Styela clava: one gene and its partners. The protein of the gene in region 4 purifies or fractionates together with the protein of the main gene of each other region. This does not show direct contact. Links are inferred from orthologs where the notes say so. Each region holds a gene or a part of one and is shown on either strand. Other genes may lie near its edges.

Region 1 (5,423 bases), on a different chromosome or scaffold from region 4:
TTCTTACCATAAGTCCCGCTTTTTAGCGTCTTGTCCCACCGTCCCGACAAGTCAGCCAAATTTTTGTTATTTTGTTTGTTTCGTTGTTTCCCGCTAACATTGTCAGCGAACGTATCACATGTAAAATCAATTTTAGACCGAGACAGACATTTAGACAGCGAATATTTGCACATGAACTCTCGATGACAATATTGTCAATGAAGACAGCTGGGATGGCTTCAAATGTAGGCCAATGTAGTAAAATCAGGAACAGTAAAGTTACAGCTACATGATTACAGCTAAGTGGTCGTGGCTTTGGAGGCGTCCCGCTTTGAAGTCAAAAAAATTTGGTAACCCTGAGTATAGCTATGGATGTTTCCTCGAGCATCGATTTACTTGTTTATTTTCTTAACAGCGACCAATCGGCAATTACGTAACAATTGCAATTAGCGCGGTCGCTCAGACAGATATTCAAGTTTTCAGTTGTGTTTCCACATATAGTTCGTCATGTCTTTCGAGAACCTTTAGTTTAGTTGCATTAATCTTGAATTTATATCACAGACGCTGTGACAGACTAGCTCAAAATTAGCTCTTGATTTAATGTATTGAATAAAATGATGATTTTGTACATGTGAGGCAGTTGGTAAGCGCCATCTCTCTCATAATAAGCGTTGAAATATTGGTTTCTCCGAGCATCGACACACTTTGATACTTTCGTAGCATTGGCTAGCATCAGTATGTCAATGGTGGCGTTAACAATTTACCAAGAGAGTGATACCTGGTGAACGTTGAATCCAAATAATGATTTGGCATGTTTATGGAGCAGTCTATCAATTTATTTGTATAGGTTTTTCAGTTCACACTGCTGTTAACAACAGCCCAAGTGTCACCAACCTCTGAACGTATCGTTTGCCATATTCAAGTGTCTTCTTTCGATTGTTCGAATAAAGTGTATTTTCTTTAAGGTGATGAAATAAATACTGATTATAACACGAGGGAGCATCCATTAATGGAGATTCTTGAGAAAACATTTTTCGGCATGAATTAATTTCCTTCCATTAAAAATTTCGTAATCGATTGGTGAAATGTCATAGACCAGAAAATAAAGATTGATGCCGTTAAAGATTGATTTTGTCGCCAGAAGGCTATTACTTTTACTTTTTTCAAAAAAATTTGTGGACTTGTGACGTGTCCATATATTTGAGCTTAGCTCTCTTGTTTTACATGGGCAATAGCAAAATTACGCAGACGAGTTCTCAGTACGGGTTGTTATAAAATGACTATGTCCCTACTAAAATGGCTACGTCCCTACAAAAATAGGACATAGCCATTTTATAACTAAAGCTGAATTTGAGTTCTGCAATTTTTATAACAAAATTTACACAGTTCTTGGCACATTTATTACCAATTTTCGATTCAACGCTTTGTTTTATTCACTTACCCAAGAAGACTTTTCAATCAGCGTAATAGGGCATATTATATGCAAGTCTTTGGGAGATATCTCTTATTTTACCCCCAAATTGTAAACTCAGTTACAGTGGCATATAACCCTTTTTACGTGCAATTCCCATCAATAGATTTATTTAGATTGAACTGCAGATATGCAGTAAAATGTTAGATGTAGACTACATCATGTAGTCAACACGCAGATACGCCACAATTTACTTGTGTTTTTGGTATGACATTGCTAATTAGTAATTACCTTGTGTGAACTTAATGTTCAGTTGTGCCACATTTACAGTTAATATAACCTGCTAGCCATGAGTTCGATTGAAACAGGATACGATCTGAGTGCCGATTAATTCTCTCCGAAAGATAAACATATTTAAAGAACAATTAAATTAATAACATAGCATTGCATTTGATTGGCAGTACATGTCTTGCTGCCCTAAATATGAAACTTGCCGCCAAATGTGGTAGTCCAATATTTCATTTCAATTGCGACTTGTGCTGTATAAACAATTGGATTAATACTGTACGAATTGGGTGGTAATACCTCACTCTCAGACGATTGCGCGATCGTTTAGTTATCTTACAGTACAATAATAATTCAATTTATTGTTAAGTAATATTCAGTGTAATAAGTACAGATATGTTGGGAACATTGTATAAGCAAATATATTGAACCTCAACAAAAAAAAATGAGATATCACTTTATTTGGACAAAGATCTAGCGATTATTGGATGAACGGCTTCCATTGAGCCATGAATGCACGTATTATTCAATTTGGCCCTGCGAGCAACAAACTGTTGCCGACCCTTCCAGCGTACGTGGAAAGAGCTAAAAAACGTGTCTGAATGTTTTGGCTTTTAGCGATGCCGTGAACTCATATTGTGCTTCCGTGTATTGTTGGTGTTTTATAAAATTTCGTTCGTGATTGTAACTTCATTTTTCACATTCAACCAGTTTTTAAACAATTTTCTATTATCTGCCGTGAAATTCATGGCGACGTATTCAGAATTTGATTCTGAAAAATATTTTACATTTGGGGTTGATTGTGAACTACCATTCTTACGATCAGCAAAAGGTTAACTTTTCTTTCTGATCTCTGTCTTCTTGATTTTTCTTTGAAATACCAAAAATAAATGAACTGCAGCTCACAAATTTGCAGTAAATAGAGACATACAATACGTAAAAGAAAGTGAACGGCATATAAAGGTAAAATATTTTTATTGATATATACTCAGCATTTAAGAAACAATGAAACATTTAAAATAAATACCATATGTAGATATTCAATCATATTTTAGTTATGTTTTACACTCACGGCACATCATTTGGGAACCGCTGGCCTAAACAAAACGTTTTGTAAACATAATTATTAAATAGTGTCAGCAGTAGAATAAGTCGTTAAACTTTAGCATCTCGTAACTATTGAATTTGTCTTAGACATGGGTCGCCTCTGTTTTGGAGCAAGCACACTTATAATCCGAATCTGAAACCATAAGCGTATCGTGACGTAGACAGAAAAAAAATGACTCGGCAGTTTGTTAATTTTCGTACCTTGCTTATGGAATTACTTTACTGCAACTAGATCAGGCAGACGTTTGTGAGCAATTACTTTTATGAGAAAGCCAGTTACAGATAATAACCACAAAAATAATTTAAAAAAATAAAATAAACTTGGTTACCGGTACCGTACGTACCGGTACCGATACTGGGTCGGAGGCTTAAAACTTTAATAAAAAAAAGGTTATTTACAACAGCTTGGCTACCGGTAACATTTATATAATAAAAAGCTCAATATAGATAACGTACGGTAACAATGAATTGGTGCTCTGACATATAGGTAAAAATGGACAGAGACTTGGATGCTTGTTTCATTGGTAATATTTCATGTATTTATAGTCTAGTTAGGTTCGCGGACAATTATATGTTTGAATTGTTTCAACGCACATTGAAAAAGTCTGCTAGGCCTATGCTGATTATGAAATGGAGACGAGTTAATATAGGTACCGGTACTACAGAACTAGGCAGTGGTTTTTACTATGTTCCAGCAGTAACTTTGAGTCCCCCATGCTGCAAAGTGTAGCAGTAGGCTTACTTACTAGGTTACGGTACCTCATAGGCTATCATGCTTTAAGATGAGCCACTTGACTGCTCCATTTTAAACATATTACTCCTTTTTAACAGACATTTATTATTACTCATTTTTCAATGAACCCTTTGTTCCATTCACTTCCTCAAGAAGACTTTTCAACCAGATAGGGCATTTATCGTGCAAGTCCTTGGGAGATATCTATTATTTTACACCAAAATTGTAAATTCAGTGAAATATGACCCTTTTTACCCAAATTCCCATCGAGAGATTTATCTAGATTGAAACAATGGCCTGCAGACATGCAGTAAAATATTAGATATAGACTACATCATGTAGTCAATAAGCCACAATTTACCTGTGTTTTTGGTACGACATTGCTAATTAGTAATTGCCCTGTGTAATTTATTTGTGCCACATTTCAGTTAATATACCTTGCTAGCTATGAGTTCGATTGGAACGGGATACGATCTGAGTGCTGATCAATTCTCTCCAGATGGCAGGATTTTTCAAGTTGAATATGCACAGAAGGCTGTGGAAAACAGCAGCACTGCAATAGCCATCAAGTGTAAAGATGGCGTGGTTATGGCAGTTGAAAAACTAATTATATCTAAATTGCACGAAGACGATTCAAACCTAAGAATCTTCAACATCGATAAGCACGTGGGAATGGCGATTGCTGGTCTACTTGCAGATGCAAGACAAATAGTAGAAATTGCTAGAGATGAAGCGGCTTACTATCGTTCAGAGTTTGGTGGCCCAATCCCTCTCAAATACCTTACTCGCAGAGTCGCAATGTACATGCATCTTTACACATTATATGGAGCTTATCGACCATTTGGAGCAAGTGTTCTAATGTCATCATTCAATGAGGACGAACCAGAACTACATATGATAGATCCTTCTGGTGTGTCTTGGGGTTACAATGGCTGTGCTATTGGAAAAGCAAAACAAGCAGCGAAAACAGAGATAGAGAAAATTGATTTTAAAAATATAACCTGCAAGGAGGCGTTGAAAGAGGCAGCAAAAATTATATATATTGTCCATGATGAAGTGAAAGATAAAGATTTCGATCTTCAACTGAGCTGGGTTGGTATGGACACAGAGAAAAAACATTCTATGGTACCCTCCGGGTTAAAAAAAGATGCTGAAGATTTCGCTAAACAGTCAATGGAAGACAGCGATTCTGACGAAGATTGAATGTATTTAATTTAATAGCAAACGTTGACAGTGATACACTGGCTAATGTAACAAACAGGAACCACTGTTCCTGCTTATATACCAATGGCCTATACCAGATATGCTGTTTTGAGATAAAATTCAGACAGCAACATTGTTCAATGTGTTAAAACTCTTGGGTTAACGTTTTTCATCATTCGTCTGATTAAAATAATTTTTCCTGAAGTTGTGCTCAATCTTTTTTTTCTGCCATGCCGCTTTATTCTTTTGAGATTGTTTGGTCGGTAGTCCATACCTGGAAAAAGAAATAAAAACTCAGTCAGAAATACACAATGCCATTTAACTTATGAAACTATCGCAACTTGATTCATTTTAAATTTGTTATTTTGTGTCTGTTAAGTGACAAATTTCAGTTCTTGTTATTTGCGATTCAGACCATAGCAGGAAAAACAATAATTTTCCAAATCTCTGAAAACCCTAATAATCTTATGCCTCCATGCGAAGTTGCCGCTTGGAACTGCAGAAATAGTGATTATATCAATAATTATCTGGAATTTGAGATTCAAAATATGACAATGCTGGTCTGCACATCACTATCATAATACCTGGAGTAGTACGATTCAAAGCTGTTTTGTTTAGTCATTGAGCTGTACAGCCTAATAGTTTCATCAACGCAGAGGTTGGTTCTTGGAGCAAATCAAATCTCAAATCAGTCAATCACTAGCT
Region 2 (7,780 bases), on a different chromosome or scaffold from region 4:
TAACACTCCAAAAAAAATATCAGCACTTTAGCTAACATAACTTGTTCGGAACTCAAACACAGAACTTGATCATAATGGCATGGAACACAGACATCGTGAAGTGTAAGCCTAAAATGCTTATTACTACCGAGCCGAGTTTACAACCTAAAAACGAGAATATCGATCAAAGACCGAAGACTTATCGATCGAAACTGGTGTTTCAATTTATGACTCTATAGTGACACCGCATGTCCCATCACTAATTAATTAATAACTCGCTAATTATACGACATAATTAATCCAAAATAAATAGTCTTCTGGTCCGAGATATGAAGAATGTACATGCAAATTTGGAGCAGGTTCAACCTCGCCTTCGTTAGATATCGTGTTCATCTAACATACAAACAAGCAAACAGACAGACAAATACTTATCAACATACTTACCGATCTTAAAATCGATAAGTACGGTAATAAAGTTGCCAAACTAAGGGATCGGATTATACACACATAACTCTGATCGCGCTCAAATTAAATGACATTATGCTTACTTCAAATTCCATTAGCTACAATTCAAACCATGCTCTCACGAACAAAGCATGTGATTTGTAGGATTGACTTATATGCGAATTTTTATAAATTCACCAGTTTGGGGCCATTTTTAGGGGGTCGGCTTATATGCGAGGATATACGGTAAATATATTTAACTTACAGAAGTCCCAAATAAGCTCAATTTAATAAAAATGGTCTATGAACCTAACATGAATTTCTTACTTGATTTGTTACTTCTAATGTTGATGGATTATAAGTTGTGATTCCTTTCGTTCCAACAGAGAACACTCGCTTGTATCTGAAAATAGTAAAAGTTAGAAAATGAAACTGTTACTAGTTCATGAAAATGGGCCCTAATTCAATTGAATCCGATACATATTGGCAATCATACCAGAGACAGCTACCATGTTCATCCCTGTGCAGTGTAACATAATGGCTTAAGCAGTGCAGCTGCAAATAAGTTTTACGAGAATAAAAAAAATATTGCAGAACAATACTGAACGCTTATTGTCACTGTTTCCCGCGCCATAATATGCTCTCAAACCAGTATATTTATAAAGTGGTAATATCTTGGTATCTCAATTTGGGGATATATAGAAAAATAAATTTGATGAAATATAAACCAACATTAATTAACAGGGTACTACGGTAGTGTGTGTACCAGACCCTTCCCACAACTCGATGTGAAGTAGGCCAACAAAATTAGTTATCTCCATATCGGTACACACACTCCTGGAGCACCATTAACAGAAAGTACATTAGTGCATTCTGATATTAGTGTTCTGAATTCTGATATCAATTGTTCAGCAACATAATTGCCGGTATTCCGCAGAGTATCATATACAGGTCAGTGGGAAATACGATACTAACGACAAAACTCTGATTCAGAACTGAGTCATTCAAATTGATGCTTGTGTAAGCTTGTGTAGTCATATTCTTGCACAGAGAAAATATTTAAAAATCAAATTTAAAACTAAAAACAGGGGTTTATGGAGTGGTTCAAAAGTCTAACATCACACATTAAATAATCATATTATTTAACATTATGCCTGACCAAAAATCCTGTTTGAAAATTAAAACTGAAATTGGGGGTGGATTCATTCAGAAGTCTAACATTACGCTTCACAATTCTTATTATGTAACATTTTGTCTGACAAAAATCAGACTTTGCCAACTAATAGCAAAGAGATGAAAAAAAAATTAATTGGGTAGCCTATACAATAATCATATAGAACAGTCATTTATAAAAAGATCATTTGGGCCATTCCAAGCAAAAGTTGAATTCCATCAATTTTTTAAAAAGTGTAGTGAAAGTAATTTTTTTTTATTTTCGATACCAAAAGACATTGGAATTTTATTGGACTACATTGATTTAATCGAACAATTTAAAATTTCACCCAGGTTTTTAATGGTTTATAAAAATTGGCCTGAAATGTAGCAATTTTGGTATAATTGGCATATTTTGTGATGATTCCTGACACAAAGTGTTTGATTGTGTGGTACAGTTATTTCATATGGAATTGACGCACTGGATTTAAGTTAATAAAGTTTGAATGTTTGCAGGGTTGTAGGACATTTCTTCACCCATTTAACGATTTATTACCAGAATTTTAAGAGATGATAGAGGCCGCTATTCCGAAGTGGAAAAATGTCCTGTAGTGTCACATACAATATGCACATTATTGGCCTGGATTTACAGTGTTACATTAGGTGAATTGAGCAACACATAGGGGGGTAGTTCAGCTACTGCACCAGAAAATATTATGGGCTCCTACTGTACCATCGCAAAAATTTACAGCACAACACAACGTACTGTTAGTGCATGGTGGATTTGCCGTCCTGTAGTGTCACGCTATATTTTACTATATTTTTTTTATCAAAATGGCACAGAAATACAATTGTGTCAAGTGTGAAGCAAGACTCTTGAATCACATAGGATAGTTATTTTTGTTCATGATACAACAAATGCATTTTATGCATATGGATCCAATAGAGCAGTGGTTCCCAAGTTGCGGACCATGGGCCGTAATTTAATATGGCCCACCGATCTCAAGTGTGTGAAATAGTTTAGTACTCCAATTGTTATGTCTTCATCACAGTTTAAGCATGTGCATATTCGGAACAATTCAACTATATCAGTATTTCAATTGCTGTATATGTACCGGTAACGGCATTGGGCCCTTCACTCTCCTGGCCTGCGAATATCCTTCCGCTTCTAAATTTGGTCCCCAGTCAATCAACCTTGGAAACCACTCCAACAGAGCAATGGCGTATAGGAAGAAAAGATAGTAGCGAGTCTTGCATAACTACAACTAAAAGTTGAATTTAAAAAAAATTATTATATTTCTTACTTTCCTCTCCATGAGTGTTTCGTAGTGTAGTAGCACGCAATGTCAATGTTGTCAGGAATTAATTGCGACATTTTTAACCAATAACAGATAGTCCAATCCTATCTTGAAAAAATCACTTGGTGTGTTGATAATGTACCACCCAAATAGTCAAGGATATAGCATTTTACCCTATAATATATAAATCCCTAGAAATCTAAAAAATAATGCAATACACCATATATTAAAAAGAGCGTGTTTTTTTAAAGACAATCTGTGTAATATTAAATGTAGGACTGACAAGGTAAATTGTGTTATCTCTATAGTATAATAGGGAATACAGTATTTTCCGGCTGAAATGCCAACCCAGAAAAATTTGCGGTGAAAGCACATTATTGACCTCCTTTTCTGATATTTTTAGTCCAATATTAATAAGATGACCACTGGAAAAAACAAAAAAAGGGGAAACGCCCAATAAGTCTTGACCCCAGAAAATCAGGCCAAAAAATTGGCTTACTAGCTGGAAAATACAATATTTATGTAATATTATGATAATACACCACACAATAATTAAAGTATGACATTTTAAAATTAAACACAGCTGTAACAACGTATATTGAATAAGTACTATACTAACTTGTATTAAAAAGGCACAATTGTTTAAGTATAATATAGTAAAGCATAGGTTGGTGTAAGTGGCCGTCCATATTAGTTCAGTACTGTTAAATTAAAGGAGTTCCTTCTGAACAGACTTAAGTGAAAATTCAAAAATGTCCAAATGTCTTACTTTTTCAAAAACTGCAAAGTCTAAGTTACATAATAAAATTTGTGAAAGTGTTATTCATCTATTTGTACCACTAAATATAACCAACTTGATTCTTGCTACAATACCTTTATTCACTAACTAAAGGGAGAGAGAAAAGAGAGATAGTTATGCCATATATGTGAAGAAAAAAAACAATGTAGAAAAAAATATACAATACTGCTGCCTGATCAAATTCAACGATTTGTGAAAATTTCAATGACTAAACAGAATTTGGTCTCTAAAATTTTAACAAATATCAAAAGCAAATTTGAAATGATGGTAGAAAGCACAGTAAGATAACCAAAAGTGCAATATGCAATTGAAAAATGTTCATATAATATATGCCATAACCCATAAGCAAAATATGTGTTGAAGCTGTAATAGGGGTTATATCTTACAAATTTCAACACTTGATAGAATGAATCAAAATTTGAGTACTTGAAATGGAAAATAAACTATAAACCAAATTGTACTTATAAATGTATTTACTATAACATTTGTAAGCATAGACACTAATGGCAAGAAGCAAAGAACATAAATATTGCTAGCGCTTCGAATGCTTCTACAGACACATTTCAGAAATAAAAGCACTGAGCATGAACTAAAATAAAAATGTCACAATAATGACAATGTTGTACCGGTACTTGAAAACAACAGCCGAGTCCAGAAAACTGGATAAAATACTCCATAAAAGAATTCATTTCAAGTGATTTTCCATGCCATATAATATGAAACAAGAAATATCCTAATAACCTGGGTGTATGCTTTACGCAAAAAGAAAACTTTTAGCTTCAACTACAGGAAGATTTCCTTATTAACTTCTACTCATGTGACTTAAAAATGAGTGGAATAATAATAAGGCATTTAATCAAATATTAATTATAACGGGAAAGTATGTGCTTTTTATTTCAAAAAAGAAACCAATATCCCAAACTACAGAAAATTTAGCTCATTAATTAACAGGATCAAAACTTCTATTTAAAATCAATAAACTTTAAAAAAAATCACTTTGATAAATATAAAAACAGCATAAATCTCTGTAACTTGGGTATATACTTTAGTCAAGAATGAAATCTGTATTACATTTAAACAACAGAATATTTAAATGGTCAACTTATTCAAAACTCCTACTAATGTCATAAATTGGTCAATTTAGTTGTTTATGACTGTGCAACACTTGATTAAGGCAAGTTTGAAAGATAGAACATGGACAACACAGAATATAATAATATATAATAGGCTATATAATTAAAGGTCAATAATATTCATAAAATATTTTTTTCTAAGATGATCTCACTCTCAGAATAGAACAAAAAAGGTGCAAAATACATAGCAATAACTTATAACACAAATCCCATTAATCTTATTCCTCTAAACATGCCCAGAGCTAAACTAATAGAAACTTGAATAATAAAATATTATGCTATGAAACAAATACCAATATGTCAGAAATATAACTAGAGCATCAGACAAAATTCAAGCATGAGAGAACAGACATCTTACATTAGGGGAATTCCACCTCTGCAATTTCAATGTAAAAGGAAATCCCTCAATAGATAATATGTAGTGGACCAGATAGATAAGACTCCAGTTCTTAGATAGAGTAGCCAAGGAATAATTGAATTCTAAAATATTAGTGCATCAGATGTTGCATATAATCTTCCATCTGCTTTCAGGTTTTGGGTCATGAATTTACTTGAAGCAGTTCTACATAAAAAAGTTTTAGAAAATTCTAACATATAATTTGTTGAAATATATTCACTACGAATTATTCGTACTAGGACTTAGTGTCACAGTTGTTATACCCAGCAAGTACACACACAAAAACTTATAGCAATAATATGAATATAAAATAAACATATGTCAAAAATTTAAGTGAAATTGGAAATTTAAATCAAATGATTTGAAAAAGTAATAGAGATTGTAATCAAAAGATGTGTATTCTTAAAAATAACGAAGTTAAGAAATAACGTTTTACATTTCGAAAGATTGTTCATCACTTTTGGCAGTAGGCTATAGTATTGCACTGAAAATACAAATTTTGTGTCGCCACTTCAAAAATAAAGTTTAATGAAGCTTTGTTTCCTAGAATATTCAGAAAATTTAATTTTATTACTATATTCATCATTATGGTAAGTGGTAACAAAATTTTCATTGAAAATTTCAGTTGAAGCCTTTTGCCAGAACTCTTATTCCACTAAAAATTTGGCCCAACTCTGATCACACAAAACCTCTTCCGCAACCATTTACCGTGATAGGTGCGTACGGCATGTTACTATTTGTAGGGTCAGATTATATGAGAGAATATACAGTAATAAACCTAAATAATTCCCTTTATTATAAAATTAGCGACTACTTATGTATCAGTGGATATCAATCCGATTGTACACGGCCTTGTCCAGTGCAAAAATGCCTCATGGACAACTTGCAAGTAGGTAGGATTTTGATTCCAAGACCTAAGTCTAAATTCCAGCTCAATTCTTAGAGATCTTGGCTCACTTCGGAAAACCTTTTATGAATCAGCTCTGAAATTTCATAAAAAAGGCAATAATTGGTCGAACGAGCTCACGAGATTGCAAAAAGCAACATATAAAATACGAAAACTTCTATATTCAATACTTCCTTCTTAAATATTGCTAAGATAATAAATGTGTATCGGTACATAATATCAGACACAGATAAAATAATAAAGAAAACACAAAAACAACTTTTCAACTATAATAAGGCAAAAAATTAATTTTTTAAGAAAAGTACTACCTTTTTTTACTAGGTGAATTTAGCTAAAATTGAGGTAGGAAGATGTCCATTGAAAATGTTTAGCTAGCAGATGCTTCTTTGATAATATTCAGTCTGATATTAACGAAAAAAAGGCAATGAAGTGTAACCTGATACGGGATCGTCAAAACTATTTTCATGATATGATTATTCTGTCGAGTCACGCTTCACTTATCCCACAGCATCATTAAATTAACTTGTAATTTCTCCATCTTCTTCTTCATGTGTGTAAGCCTCATCAACTGTGTTAACAATTTTCTTTCCACAAGTTTCTGGAAGAAGTAGAGCTAAAACTGCAGAAATTCCACATAAAATTCCATAACATAGAAACGGTGTTGCGGAATTTGAATTCACTGTATATGTGGCAAGGAAAGGGGCCGTCATACTCCCGATTCTGGCTACTGTAGACATGCTACCAAGTCCGACATTTCGAACAACAGTAGGAAAAAGTTCTGGTGTATAAACGTATATTAATGTAAAACATCCTGAAGAACCAACTTTCGCAACCATTGATAAAATCAAACGAAAGTGTGAGTTTGCATCCGTGTTTGGAACTATATACATGATAAACATACTAAGTGAAGTCATGGACATTAATAAGCATAAAGTTCCGCGTCTACCACACCATTTCCGCTCCATAAAGTATAGACAAATTGGAACAGATGGAAGCTGACTAATAGCAGACATACCAAACGCAAGATAAAAGTTTGGACTGAATGATCCTGCTCCAAGTGTGATACAATAAAACACAAAACTTGTCGTGAACCACACAAAACTTAGTATTGCAGTTCGGTAACGCAATACAGGTTGTTTCACCAAGTCTAATATCGAATTTTTCACTTCTAATGGAGTCAAGGAACGATGTTGGGAATCAGAGTACGGCTCATCTATGTCTCCATCCCCAGTTACTAATTTGTAATACGAATGTTGATTTCCATTTCGCTTCGAAAATTTTTGAATTACTGCTTCGGCTTCATCCACCCGTCCTAGAGAGAGCAACCATCTTGGGGACTCAGGTGTAAAAATATAAAATAAATATCCTAGTAATCCAGGCAATGCGGCCACAACACATAGAGTCCTCCATGTAGGTATATAATAGGTAATTATCAAAAACACACACATAAACGAAGTGAAAGATATGTGACCTATAATACCATTCGTAACCCACATTTTTGACGCAGACATTTCTTGAAGCATAATCGTATTTACAACACTTAGTCCACCGATACCAAGACCGCTTAGAGTTCTACACGCTGCCATTTGTTGCCAATTCTGAGTGAATCCTATTAAGAGTGCAGCAATCATTAAAATAGTGTAAACCTTCCAACCAATGCTTCGTCTGCCA
Region 3 (7,300 bases), on a different chromosome or scaffold from region 4:
TCTACCACAACCTTTCTTAGAATCTCGCAAAACAACGGGAACGAAAAAATGTTTACAACAATGCCTGCATATCTGTCTGAGCGATTGAATAAATTACAATAGTTTCGTCATTGTTAACTCGTTGCTGATTTGTCATTGTTAAGGAAATAAACAAAGAAATTGATTCTGTGAAAACATCCTTTGTACTGAAAATCATTCAATTTCAGATAATATGAAACACAAGTTTATCATTATTTTTTACAATTAGGACACCAAAGTCTAAAGTGCTTAGGTCCTGTACTGTACTGCCCATCTCCATTAGGTCACGAAATCTTATGTCATGTCCTTGCTGAGCAACATCCTAAAAATTTTGAGTGTAAAAATTCAATGAAGCTGAGAATCTAATGTCATTAAATTTGACACTGCCTTCAAATATTTATCTTAAAACTCACAACACCTAAAGATGGATTAACATGGTAGGAAGATACTCTTTGTACAGTTTCCCCACACACTTGAGACAAATTTAACCATATGTTAGAAATGAATTTTCTAATATCAAACAAGTGAACATAAATGAGGAACATGCTTTCCACTTTAATCATAATGCATTTCATAAAATATCGATGGTCCATGCATCCTTGTATATGGCAAGTGATTGGATTTGGGAACATAAATTATGGATTTGGGAACATAAATTAAAACAGCAATGATTGAATGTTTATATGGAGACCATGTAATTATATAATCCAAAATAATAATAGTATAGAGAGACCCATTTTAAACAGGCATGAAAACATAACTTTTACATGTTTAGAATTAATCATTCAGTCATTGGATAATAATAAGCATGCTTCAGCATCACAGTCATTTTCAAGAAATGAATTTTTAGAAAATTTTACATCATAGCCCGATGGTATAAGATCTACCATTTGGGTTGTGTATTTGACTTGCTTGTGGAGAAGTGACACACCATTCATACCAAACCTTTTTTCCATTGGAACAACGCCAAAAATCAGTCTGTAATGTACAACCTTCGGTAAGAGGGATTGGATTCATCAAGGGAACGAAAATTGGAAACCAACTGAACATTCCCGGTGAATGTGTTTTCGGTTCGATACTGATTTCAACATCTTTGTACAATGCGCATCTGAAATAACCACCAAATCCATGCAGCATAGTGTCAAAAGGAATTGTGCAAGAAAATTGTTGATATCTTGTGTTGTGACTATTTGTTGGCATTGTCGGAGTTGATTTGATTTGATTGTTAGCTTTAGTTGGATCAATGTGATTGTGTTGACTATCTTGAATCTGATTAACTTCAGTTTTCCCATTCGTTTCCATGTCCTCTTTATCCTTTACATCTTTTTTGCTGAACTTCTTGTCCCAAACTTCTGCGGAAACGTCGGCATGGAACTCTGGTTTAGGATTTTGACTATCCAAATCCCAGTTTGGATGATTGAATGTGAACAACGGAACTGGTTCAGTAAGTTCATGATAATTATGAATACGAACCACATACAAAGTTTCAAAAGCAGCTTCGGGTGTCTTATTTTTATCCAGACCCATCACACCTTTTATCTCATTGTAAAGTTTATGAGATGAGATAGGAGATATGTAAGATGTGTATGACTGCGGGATACTGACTGCATCTGGTTTTAGGAAGCGATTTGCCCCGTCTAAGCACTCCGGTGACAATTCATTGTCACCCAATGATCCTAGCAACTCTGAAACAACAATATCAGCTAGCTCAGGAGCCTTCCAAAACCTCATATCAGATGAAACTACAGTGACATCATAGTCTTTCCACTCTGTCGTGCACAGATGTTGCAAAAGTACAGCAGCATTTCTGTTTTTTTCTACTGCATAAAGACGAACTTTTCTTTGAGCTCTTTTAGCACCTCTGAGTGACATTCTAACGAGAGGGCCGCGACCCGCACCAAGCACCATGATAACAGCTGTTTGCTGTTCTTTTGCGGAATCAGGAATTTGGTCAAGCAAGCAACGATAAACTGCTTCCTCATACTTTTTATATTTGATAGGATCTCTTTCAAAGATTTCATAGGTTGACGATTCCAAATTATCCATGAGAGGCTGGAGTGGTGCTTGCAAATGATCTTCATAACCTTTTGAAAATTTTTCATATTCTCCTAGATTTTGAGCACCTTGGAATAAATGATCCAAGTATTGATGATACACTAGGATTCCTTCTGCATTATTCAAGTTAGGACCAGACAATACAATTTGACAATTCAACTTCATGAGATTTTTAACAAATTGCTGATGAGCACGGGACAAAACAGGAAATCCTTTTTGATTCATCAGAAAAACAGAAGTTGGAATATAAACCACACGAATAGGTTCACCTTGCCATCTTTCCAACTGACTCGGTAAGTCTGCAGTTAATTCCAATGCTAATCCGATTCTACTGTGATGGCTGCATAAGGTTCGAAATTTATTCCACCAGTGCCATGTATCCTCCTCACAATTTCTGGAGTGTAAAGGGACTTTAACCCATATGTGGACATTATGATGACCTTCATATAAAAAGGTGTTTATCATTCTGGCAATATTTGAACAATTTTTGCTCTTGATTTCAACAATAATCGCAGGTAAGCTCAAAAAAGCAACAAAATGAAGCTCTTGTTTCACAGCTTCTTCCGCACAAATACGCTTCTCTGTTACAACAGATGTCAAATCAGGAAAATAAGAAAGTTTGCCAACGACAAGGGAAGCCCATTCTTGTGAATTGAATAAAAATGATGTGTCTGTAACACCACCAAGTTTATTACATAGATTCGCTGTTTCAAATGGTGTGCAGCCTTGTCTGACAACATTCGCACATATAAAGTCATAGCCATTTCTACTAGAATTCTCAATAGATTCTTCAAGATCTTCAGTAAATTCAATATCTAGTCCGCAAGATACACGGTTTCTTGAGGCCATCTTAGGTTATAGTAAGCTATAATTTTAAGTAGTTATATTATTGATTTTGGTCCTAAAATTTAAATAGTAAAGCACACTTTTACCAAATCTCTAAAAACTTGTTTTTTCTTTAATGCCAACGACTACCAAACACATATATGGTCACACAGGATTAAAAATGATGAAACATGACTACCAGTATGTTTTGTTCAGTTTTCAACGGCATAAAAGGATGATTTACATAAGGTTAAGGAGGACTCCAGAGTAGATACGATCAAAATTATTAAAATATTTTTTTGTACCGTTTCAATTTGAGGCATGATACTGACATATAAACAATTATCCGCAACAATTATACACTTTGAAAAAATAATCTAATTCGCTGATTGAAAAAAATTTTACCGAAGCATTTGAGTTTTTAGCTGAAAAACATAATTTTGGTCACCAGACGTCCAAGTCATGATTGATTTAAATTATTACCGAGAGAATCTTGGCGTGATGTAACTGTTTTAGAGCCAAAAGGGAGTGCTTGTTATATTGAACCAAATGTTGGGACATCTTGGAATCGAAGAACTGTGCCCTAATGATGACTGGATGGTATAAAAGTAAAGTCGAATCATGTGAAATTTCAGATATTTAAATACTGATTGAATCGAAAGACCAGAAAAGGCAGCAAGAACAATAGCAGAATAGACTATGTGTGTGTCATAAGATAAATTGTTATAATGTTTTCTTATTCCTGTATTCTGTTTAAAATGAAGTCTGAAGGAAGGCTACGATGACATTTATGCCAAAATAATTCGCACACTTTCCACACACAGACACACATGTAGGCTACGGTAGCTAACTTGTTTCTAATTCTCATATTTAATATATCAGTAGAAATTTGAAGTCAGGAGTTCATTAATTATAAACTAACGTGGAATCATACTACCATAGCATCCATAAATGCGTATTACATTGTTTGTCTAATAAAAAAAAAGAAAAGAATGCGGATCGAGCAGGGCGGGAACTAATCCTTATGGATGTTTGGAATTATACTACAGTACCATAGTCAAAAGGTTTTGAACAATAATTTACAAGCAAGTTGCCAAGATTAAACCCTCACACAGATCGAGACTATTACATGCTTCCAGTTAGCAAATCAACATGAAGTAAATACAAACATAAACTCCACCCCACCTGCTATCAAAGAAAATATCCCCGCATGCACCAGCAAAGTGCACAATCCACATGCTACTAGTGCGGTGGTGTATGGAGTGGAAATCTAGAGTCCGAACGTAATTCGATTTAAGTACACCTGCATATATGAAATTTACGTATATGCCTTTATGTGGTGATTACCACCGTAATATAAGTAAATTCAAGTTTGAATGGAATAGCTAAATCTTAACACATAATGTCTTATTTTCCTTATTATTTTCCAATTCTTACAAAATTATTAACATGGTGTGGCAAATTATTTTTTTTTAATTTGTTTGTATATTATTCTTTTTATTAGGTAATATCTTTTATGTTTCAATTTTTATTTTAAACCTTAGGATTTACATCCTGAAGGATCCTATTTTAAACCTTACTTAAGTTTTTTTTGCTCTCCTGATTCTGTAATCAGTTTTATTTACTTAGTTTTTATCAACAATTTTATTGTCTATTGTGCTGATCATGGAATCGAAATAAACTATTCCACGTAATAGTCTACGACTACGGTATGTGTAAATGTTAGTTCTTCATGCGTTTATATTCTCATTTTTGAGGAAATTGCAGTTGATTTTATTCAGCGATCCCGTCGGGCCGTGGTTCTCATAGTGCGTCGTTTCAATTTTGCTAGGGCGTCCCAAAACTTTTTTCTTTTGCGGAATCGTACCTGTTTTGCGGTGCGTAAAAAAGTTTGAAAACGTCTAAATATCGCTGTAGAAATGTACGAGCGTAAAAATGATACCGAACAAGAAGTATGATGAAAGCTACTTGGACTTTGGATCGTTCAAGTTTCGAGTAAAAAAGCGCTGTGGTTTTTGTTGCAACTGGGGATGCGATGTACTTACTACATGCCGTTCAGGCTTATTAGGTAACCGGTTTCACTGGCTGAAATCTTGCTACAACAACATATTACGGCTTTTGTTCGCCATTTTGTGAACGGAATCGATATAAAAAGAAATTTTAATCACGAAAATGTTATGAGTTTTTGGATTTCCCCGGATAAAGATTATCCTTCCTTGCGGATAAAAAAAAGGCATTGCGCACTCTCATCCCCCGCGACTTCATATTCATGTGAAGCAGGCTTTGCTACCATGGCTGTAATAAAGGCAAAATATCGTTCTCGAGAAAACGTTGAAAGGAAAATGCGTATTCACCCCAAGACTCAATGACAATTGTGAAAGGAAGCAAGAACACCCATCACATTAAATGCAATTTCACCGACTTTCGGTAAATTTTGTTTGCTTGTTTAAATAAAGCTCATTACAAAAAGGTCTTTAATTGTATTAAGACGTTTTCACGGGGAGCCGCAACTCGAGCATATTTTTCGGAAGGCGTCACAACACAAAGAAGTTTGAGAACCACTGCGGTTGTAGGCAATCCGTAACTGACGTCCCAAACATAGGCCACATGAAACACTCCACGACAACAGGGGTCTCAGCAATCCTCCCCCACTCAAGATTTGAATCCGCACACATTAAGCACGAGGCATTTTACTCCCATATTTTTTCATTTAAGTTTCTGTGAACTATGAAAACTAACGCAAATTTCTCAAAAACCAGACTGTGTAGTTTACAGACTGTGTCAAAATAATACTGCCGTATCAAAGATACTGATACCTTAAACTTTAATAAGTAAAGCTCAATTAAGTTGATAAAATACAAATTAATGTATAGACTCTCAAGTTTTATTACTTGTTTCAAACTACCAAAGTTCCACAGATAAATTACAATAACTAAATTACATTTACTGGTCACATAAAAATGAACCAGACCTAATAACTACATATGATGAATAATATGCACAATGCAACTAATGTAACAATGATTCTAGGGCTAACTACCAAGCCAGTAAAATGCCAACAATCCACACAAATTCTCATAATTAGCACTACTGGGTATAAACTTGAAACCAGACGATACTTGACAATGAGTGATAATAAGGTCTGTTTTAGATCAGTCGAGAGAAGTTTGTTCATCGAATATAGATAAGCTGACCTGTGCGAAGTGGAAACACTTCTCCGGAATGCAGTTTTAGATTGAAAGAAATATAAGCATTGCACTGCAAGAAAAAAATAAATAAGCAAACTATATTGCGCTACCCCGTCTATATATGCAGCTCAGAAAAGACAGAAGCAGTAGAGATGAGACCTTGCGATGTAATATGCATTGCTTCAAACGAAAATTATGAATTTCATCTTGAATTTAGAACATACACAGTTGCATTGGAATTGGCAAAACCTAAATCTTTGAAAGTTGGGCAGACACAGTTGATGAATTAAGACATCAAAGAAAAACTTGTGCAAAATAATAAAGTTGACTTTCTGTGTATACTATATACATGTACAGTACATTAATTGTAAGACATAAATCAAAAATTTGACAGAGTTTGTACAACGAAAGTGCTTCGATGATATAAAATAAATTGTCAATCCTACATAAATATAGATGATAGGATAAAGTAATCTTGATTAAATAAAAAAAACCAGACAAACTTAAACTATAATCACAATTAGATTTTCAGCCTTACAAAGTGCAATAAACGTTTGTCCGATAAATCCCCAAAAAAGTGTATTCTATATCCATAATATTACATGCAATAACTGTCCATTTGTGATACATTATAGCAAATCTAAGGAAATTTATTGCAGAAACAAACTTTATTTCATTAATATTATCCCAATATAGCAAATTAAGAACATGGTGAAGAAAACAATAAAACCAAATGGAAAATAAAAAAAAAATTATTAGTACCTTGTAATCTAAAACAATAAAATAAACTAGAATAACATATTGAAGAAATTAAAGGTATGAAAGAAAGGTTTGGATAGACATATTCACATAGTAAGACGAGGAACGATTTTGTTTTCACCTTAATCATGTTTTGCAATATTTCTCCGAACGAAAAAAGTTGGAAATCTGTTTAAAATCAGACATATTTCACCTAAAGTGTTGACAGCATAAATGTCTTGAACTGGCACTTCCTTTTACAAGGTATATATGCTTCACTGGTCCTGACAGTATAAAAATAGCCTAAAACTACATGGAATTATTACAATTACATAACAGTATACATAGAAAAAAACTTGTCACTAAAGTACGAAAAATAGTTTATTCAGTTCAGAATTTACTCTCTGAAAGCATGATAATTTTATTAATCAAACTCGAACCATTAAGCATCACTAAAAAATTGATTCGAAAAAAAA
Region 4 (7,191 bases):
TAAAGGTAATGTTGCAGGCTACTACGAATTTGGAAGGCAATTACTGTAGAGCAGTGTTTCCCAACCTTTTTATGGCTTTCAGCACTCATGGTCCCCCTGTTCATCATTCCAGTGGTATTTATGGTGTTAATTTGGTTTGTAGATTCTAGGTTCCATACGTGTTATGAGGAGCAGGTCCCACCTGAGACTTGGTGGCTTACCCTCTGGTCCACTTATCTCATAAACTGGGCTTATGTCCCTTTATAGCAGTGATTTCCAAAGTTGATTGACAGGAGGCCAAAATCAGAAGCGGAAGGATATTCGTGGGCCAGGTGAGCGCCCGCAAGGGGCGGTATCTGAAGCGCAAAAAGAAAAAAACATAGTGTAGTGAACTATTTTACTTACATTCGGTGGGCCATGTCAAACTGCTGGCAGGCCAAGGTTTGGGAACCACTGCTTTTTAGCAACTACCAAAATAATAAAACAGCTTAACAAATACAAGGCAATAAAAAATGATATAAATATAGTGAACCGTGTGGCAAAAAAAAGAGAGTTTGAAATAAAAAAAATATGTCACGAGCAACCAGTGCTCCGTTTATTGAAATACAGGATGGATGAAGCATTGATCTAGAGCGGGGGTTCTCCAACCTTTTATGTTATGGAGTTTGTGAAGAAATTGACTATTATTTACGAAGCCCACAACAAATTTATAAAAATGATATACTGTTACATAAAAATGATTCTCCAGAAAGCAACACCAAGCAACTTCTTAACTTCATGTTACATTTTTTCTATTTGCTCCAAGCAACCGGTAGGTAATTCGCCCATACTCGGAGGCAAAGGGGCGAGAAATGAAAAAACTTAGGTCCTAGATCAGGGATTCCCAAACCAGGGGTCACGACCCCAAAGTGGGTCGGAGTGATAAGTAGGCAAGGTCGCAAACAGGTCATGGAGTCGCTTAGGTATGGTAGAGGATGGATGTACAGTCGACTAAGATTTGACAAACCATGTTAAATTTAGCAGTTTGTACCATGGCTTACTGTAAACAGGCCCATAAGCATGGCTCTCTGCTTGTGCTATAGAAAATATAAAGTGCTTATTGTGACATCACTGTTTGGTTTTACCTTATTTTTTTACTTAATACCATCACATGACCAAACTCAAAAGTCCAGTGAAAGAAGTTTATATATATTGACCTGGGGTCGCACTGGACACTTGAAAGTTGTTTTTGGGGCCGTCCTGACAAAAACTAGGGAACCCGTCCTAGATGAAGATAAAAGAACAAAATTATGTCACCCAAACAAAAAAATGAATGTTTCACACAAAAAGAAAGAATACTGTGTAAAAAAATCTATATGTACAAAAATACACTTGAAAAAAATTTAAGTATTGAAGTGCTAAGATCACAAGCCTATTTAGAGTTTTGATAAAGAGAGGAGCAAAAGAAGTGAAAGTGACATCATAATACACTCTTTTGGATGAAAGGTGAAGTTAGGCTATCATAAAGAGGTTCTCTAAACCCAACCACAACAACGAAGTGCTCAGCAAACAGGCTAGGAAGACTTTCTGGAAATCCCTAAAAAAATGCCCATCTCGCATATGATGGTTGGCACATCAGATTCGTGTTCGAGCTGCATGGTCAAGCAATGCAATGGTAGGCACATTGGACCAGTCAAAGATTGAAGATACCAGGTTTAAAACCCCCTGTCCACCGCATCACGCCGACATTGTCAAATCTGTCTTTTCAAAATCATAGCATACCCTTACGTATCAGTAACCTGCTTGTCCAGGGCTTTGTTTAGAGCAGATGTAGGCAACCTTTGAAACAGAAGGGCCAGATACAAATAACTGGTGAAACCATGAGTCGCATCTTTATTTAACATAGGCTTTCTAGTATTTGAGGGCCCAAAAATTTTGGTTATCAATCTTATGACATGCGTTGCTCGCATTGCACAAGCTCAGGTATAGGATTTGGGTCCAGGCTTTGCAACGCAAATGGATAGAAATAACTTGAGCGTACCATTTTAAACTTAATTAAAAAACTTGTTCTGCGGGCCGAACATCATTCAAAATTGGCACTTCTCAGCGGGCCGTATAATTTCTCCTTGTGGGCCGCGGGCCACACACCCCTGGTTTAGAGAAAAAGTTCCAACCCTCTTATATGATTTCACAAGAAAGCGTTTAAATTAAAATCACATCTTAGTAATCTTCAGCCCAACCATTCTCTCCAATAAATTTCTCGATCACTTCGTGTATAGCCAGATTAGGAATCAATTCACTAGCAGTTAGTTTTTGTCTGGTAACGGGATCAAAATGTCCGACCCTTTGCAGATGTTCTTCGAGATCTTTGCGATCGTAAGTTATTCCACTCGGCGTAATAACAGGATCCTTCATAATTTCGAAACTAATTTTTCCGCATAGGAAATCTGGAACTTCACGTGTTTTCCTACGATCATCTACTTGTGCAAATAAGTTATTTAGTTCAGTTCGACGTTCCTCGAATTTTTTTTCTACATTTTTTCGGTCTGTATCGCTTGTGGAGTCGTTTTCGTCCAATTTGGTTATCTCACGTTTTTCGTCTTCAACCATTAAATTAGTGAGATAAGTTTGTAGTTCAATTTCCTGTGAAATACGTTCCTTTTCTAATTTATCCCAGCGTTTTTTCTTCGCGTTTCGTAGCATCGCTGCAATATCATCACCAAAATTTAATTTTTGTTGTTTTGCGAGTGTATGTGCTTTCTGTAACTCTGAGATAGATTCATCAAAATTTTCAAGCTCTGCAGTAGCATGTCCAAGAAAGAAGTGACCCTTGACGGATTGGGGGTCATAATCAAGGGCAGTTTTGCAGTCGTCAACGACGGCTTCCCATTTTTGTAGCTTTATGTTGCACAGAGCCCGATTTGTGAAGAAAACAGCATTATTAGAAGTCTTATTTATTGCCTTCGTGTAGCATTTTATCGCTTCTTCATATTTTTTTTGTGCAAACATACGATTACCTTCTAACTTATACTGCATGGCAGTCATTTTGATTATTTTCTAAATTAAAAAGACAAGATCACATTAATAAAACAACATAAATAATATATAACTTTACAATAAAATTAATAATATTCATTTTACAATTTCAATATTGCAGTGTTGAAACAAGCATAGATAAAAAGCACAAACAAAAATATAATATTTGCTTCCAAAAAATCATAAATACCCAATAAGCACGGTCTTCATTACCAAAATAACAGGTGACAAAAAAAAAGAAAACATGTTTTAATGCAGCTAATTAAGCCAGTTAGAGACGAGGGGTGTGCAAGCGGCGGCCCTCAATGAAAAATTGTGCGGCCCACGAAACGAGTGTTTAATTTAGCTCAATCTGCCCATGGGGTTGCAATGCCTTAACAGCTAGCCTAAGTGGACAGCACATGTCACAAAATCAATAATCAAAATTTATGCGTATGCAACTACTAGAAAGCCTATGTTAAATTAATGTGCTGCCCGCAGTTTCATCCAGTTATTTGCATCTGGCCCTCATGCACTAAAGGTTTCACACCCTAAGTTAGACTATAGCATATAGTTAAGAAGCCATTTATTCATTAATACTGGCAATATTTGGACTATTTATTATTTGCTATCAACATTATGCAAAAATAATAATGGTTGAGGAAATGAGAAGCACATACCATACTCTCTCAAAAATGAAGAAGATCAATTTTTAAGCGAAGTTACGAACAAGAAATGATAAATTTTGCAAGAGTAAGACCATGACACAGGGACCATAACACTAATATGAATTGTTTAGCTAAATTAAAATGTTTTTTTCAGCAACTTATGAACCAATGAATTTCAAATTTTCGACATTAAGAGATGCAAGCCGGTAGAGCATTACTTTTATATAACTGGTTTGTTACTGCTGAGAGAATTCACTTTTGAGCTGATAATAAATTTAACATTGAGCACAAATAAAAAGAGAAAGTCAAAAGATAATAGTATACCAGTATTTTAAAAGACGAACAAGCACCTATCATGTCCCCTAAATGCTGTGATCATCACCAAAATCATACAGAATATTTAAGCAATAAAATGAACAGCATGCATGCAGATTGTCAATAAAATAAACAAATAATAAGAACAGACCATTTCTATGTAACAATACAAAATAATAAGCAATGTGATATCACCTGATGTGGAAAATGACCCAGGGCGCCCCTCTTTTTGAAATGTAAAAAAGTACCCAAATAACTAAACACAATGAGATGGATAATAACAGAAGGATTTATAATAAAAATATCGATTCCTGTGATGAAAGATATCTGTTAACACTAATAGGGAAATCGGTGGTAGTAAATTTTTGGAGGGCAGGTACAATTCACTGAACTCATTAATTCACAACTACAGTTAGGCTCAACTGTACAACGTCTTCACCCTGAATAAAGAAATGAGCAAGCATTCACAGATACGCTAGGAGCCAGGGAGGGGTCAAAGATCGGGACCAACCCCTCCCACATTAATTTTTCGTAGCTTGAAACGCTTTTTAGACCCTCAAAACCCCTAAAAAACTACGTTTTCAGGCCAGACTTGCTAGCTGTTATGGCTCTAACTTAGCAATTAGAAATTTTAGAACCCCCCCCCCCTTATCAAATTTTCAATTTTTGGATAGGCCCCTGCAAGTAGTTACCATATAAAGGTTGGTTCATTTTCAAAAAATTGGATTCCTTTGTGCAATACAAAATTTGGGTTGAAAAGGAAATTGACAGCATGTTTGAATTGTGTTTACAAAGCGCTTGGGTTTTGGGGCAAAGATCCTTATCAAAGCATCCCTTAGTTCTATGGACATTCATGGCTCATATATAACAAATAATAAAATCGGAATTGGTCAAAAATTCACTCCACCATCCATCAATACTCTGAGAATAATACATCAGCAACAAAAAGTAGAATACTTATTGACAAAAGTAATAATAAAAAGAAGTACGAAAAGCTACAATGAACACTTTTTAAAATCGGATTTCAAAAAGACATTTTGGATGTCAAATTCAGCAAAAATAGGATTTATTAATGTGAAATCTATTAAGAAGATTCGGTTAGGAGATCAACTAATGAAGTTTGAAATACGGTAAACAATACAGTATTTTTGGTAATTTTGGCATCAGCTTATTTTAGGTACTTGCTTGAACTGTGCAAATTGTACCAAGGAATCTCAAGTCCATGCAGCTGAACCAATTAACTCAGGAGTGGGCAATTAATTTTCCTAGTGGGCCAGTTACTGGTAATATACTTGGTTACTGGGCCGGAAGCTCAAACTAACTGGTCGACTATTTCCACACCCTACTCAGGTACTTTCTCAGACCGTACCAGGCAAGGTACAGATAGCCAAGTTCATGCATCTGAAACTAAAGATTGTTGGTGTTTCCATACTGGTAAAAGGCTCGTAATATGATTAACTACTATGGCATTTTATTCTATTAGCCATCAAAATTTCTATCGAAGAGTTGAAAATATTAAGACATGAGCTCCATGACCTAATAATAAATTTGGGAATCCCCATCTGCAAATGAAAATTAAAAGTTTTAAGGACATACACAAATGAATTACAATATACTGTAGATCAAATTATTGTAGTACCAGTACAGTTCAATAGGGATTCTTTTGGAACTATGCTGACAGAAATAGGATCTCAAAATTTAAAATACACATATAATTAGAGCATAGTATAATGACAAATTTACAGACAAATATTGCAAAATAAACAAGGAGAAATAATCAACCTTACACCCCAAATTGGCCCCAAAAGTTGGCTGTGATTTGTGGTTACGATAATACAAACAGAATAGGTAGTTTAATTATAATGATATTATGAAAGAACTTTGAAATAAAACCTCGCCTGGCTACGGTTCAGGCCTAAAAAACTGAAGGTTGATGAACAAGTTATTTAGAATTCTAGAAACGAGTCTGCAGAGTCTGAGTGTTTTTTATTGGTAATAAAATTAATTCAGCAGTTCCATTTTTGAATACTGTGTGGACTCCTAGCTTTAAACTCCCAATGGCAGTGTATAAAGTCTAAATTTCTGATAGGAACCTAATAGGTCGAGATCTTGTTGGGCATAAATTTTCCCAGGCTCCCCAGCTAAGATATACCGGTAACTAACTTTGTGAAAAGGATACATGAATACCAACATTTTTGGATATGAAAAAACATTTTTGAAATTACAATTATAGAACATTCAACCAATCAGCCTCCTTTTGATAATGGAAAGCAAAAATATTTTTCATCAAAGACAAATGGGCAGCACATGTAGGCTTATCACTAATCTGTTGTATTAGGTCTAATAGTTCATGGATTCTGTCAATTTCTTGAGTGTACGTCCGATTTTCAAGAGGCATTTTCCGTAGACTATCAATGGCTACTTGAGCTTTGGTAAGAGTATCCTCTCCTTCGGGCCGTAGTCGTGCTGTTATCTGTTGAATATGAACTGAGATGCAACGAATAGAGACTCGAAATCCAATTGATAATGAAGTAGCACGTCCGATTCCAAAAGTTCCGAGTATGCCTGTCTTAACACGGTCAGTACTCCAGTGCTCTAACACGGGAAGAAGTGAATGAAAACTCTCGGAAACTGAGCTAAGATTAACTTCAGATTCTGGGGAGAGTTTAGCGTCCTGTTCCAACGTATCACAAACTTTCAATGCATATCCAATTAAAAGCAACAATTTGGCTTCATTATCGCTTTTCGGAATCAAAGACGAGATCCATTGTACAATAGAGAAAAAAGCACTATACATTGGGCCATTAGAGTCATTTCCATTGCCGCAACGTTTCGCTTCATCGACTATATTTTGCGATAATGCAAGTATAGTATTAATGCACCCATTTGATAGACATGCTTCTATAAGCTCACTCTGGGAGACTTTACAAACTTGACTTAGGGTGTGGCAAAGATTCTGCCACAAGTTCAAAACTTTTGGGAGCCTATCGTCGGATGTGGTTTTATCCACTTCGTCGTTCACTTCTGGGTGATACTTAGAAATCAATTTCAAACATGAATCAAGCCCGTATTCAGCCACTACAGCTAAATGCAGAGGACTTGAAATTGTGTTTGCTGCCGAAGATAGAATGCTTGTCAAAACCAAGTCGACAGTTTGTAGAGATTGTGTGTCCATTGACAAATCAAGCGTCGATAAAACAACTTCATTAAGGAAACTTAAAATCTGTGATCTTGT

Evidence for each region.
Region 1: the proteins of E3 ubiquitin-protein ligase CHIP-like (region 4) and proteasome subunit alpha type-3-like purify together in Homo sapiens (affinity purification with western blotting; 3 studies listed by BioGRID, with this or other methods). This does not show direct contact. The link is inferred for Styela clava from reciprocal best matches to the Homo sapiens genes STUB1 and PSMA3.
Region 2: the proteins of E3 ubiquitin-protein ligase CHIP-like (region 4) and dnaJ homolog subfamily C member 13-like purify together in Homo sapiens (affinity purification with mass spectrometry; 3 studies listed by BioGRID and IntAct, with this or other methods). This does not show direct contact. The link is inferred for Styela clava from reciprocal best matches to the Homo sapiens genes STUB1 and DNAJC13.
Region 3: the proteins of E3 ubiquitin-protein ligase CHIP-like (region 4) and protein arginine N-methyltransferase 5-like purify together in Homo sapiens (affinity purification with western blotting; 3 studies listed by BioGRID and IntAct, with this or other methods). This does not show direct contact. The link is inferred for Styela clava from reciprocal best matches to the Homo sapiens genes STUB1 and PRMT5.

Annotation. Positions count from the first base shown.
Region 1 is NC_135256.1:8,850,432-8,855,854, reverse strand, and holds proteasome subunit alpha type-3-like, read left to right. Parts: upstream 1-3,915; 5' UTR 3,916-3,962; coding exon 3,963-4,718; 3' UTR 4,719-4,922; downstream 4,923-5,423. UniProt on the Homo sapiens protein: Component of the 20S core proteasome complex involved in the proteolytic degradation of most intracellular proteins. This complex plays numerous essential roles within the cell by associating with different regulatory particles.
Region 2 is NC_135261.1:3,151,829-3,159,608, reverse strand, and holds the start of dnaJ homolog subfamily C member 13-like, read right to left. Parts: upstream 3,022-7,780; 5' UTR 2,951-3,021; coding exon 2,880-2,950; intron 827-2,879; coding exon 751-826; intron 1-750. Other genes in the region: solute carrier family 22 member 15-like, read right to left, coding at 6,628-7,780.
Region 3 is NC_135260.1:10,097,555-10,104,854, forward strand, and holds protein arginine N-methyltransferase 5-like, read right to left. Parts: upstream 2,999-7,300; 5' UTR 2,923-2,998; coding exon 880-2,922; 3' UTR 514-879; downstream 1-513. UniProt on the Homo sapiens protein: Arginine methyltransferase that can both catalyze the formation of omega-N monomethylarginine (MMA) and symmetrical dimethylarginine (sDMA), with a preference for the formation of MMA.
Region 4 is NC_135250.1:2,576,083-2,583,273, reverse strand, and holds the start of E3 ubiquitin-protein ligase CHIP-like, read right to left. Parts: upstream 3,010-7,191; 5' UTR 3,004-3,009; coding exon 2,179-3,003; 3' UTR 1-2,178. Other genes in the region: ectopic P granules protein 5 homolog, read right to left, coding at 6,184-7,191. UniProt on the Homo sapiens protein: E3 ubiquitin-protein ligase which targets misfolded chaperone substrates towards proteasomal degradation.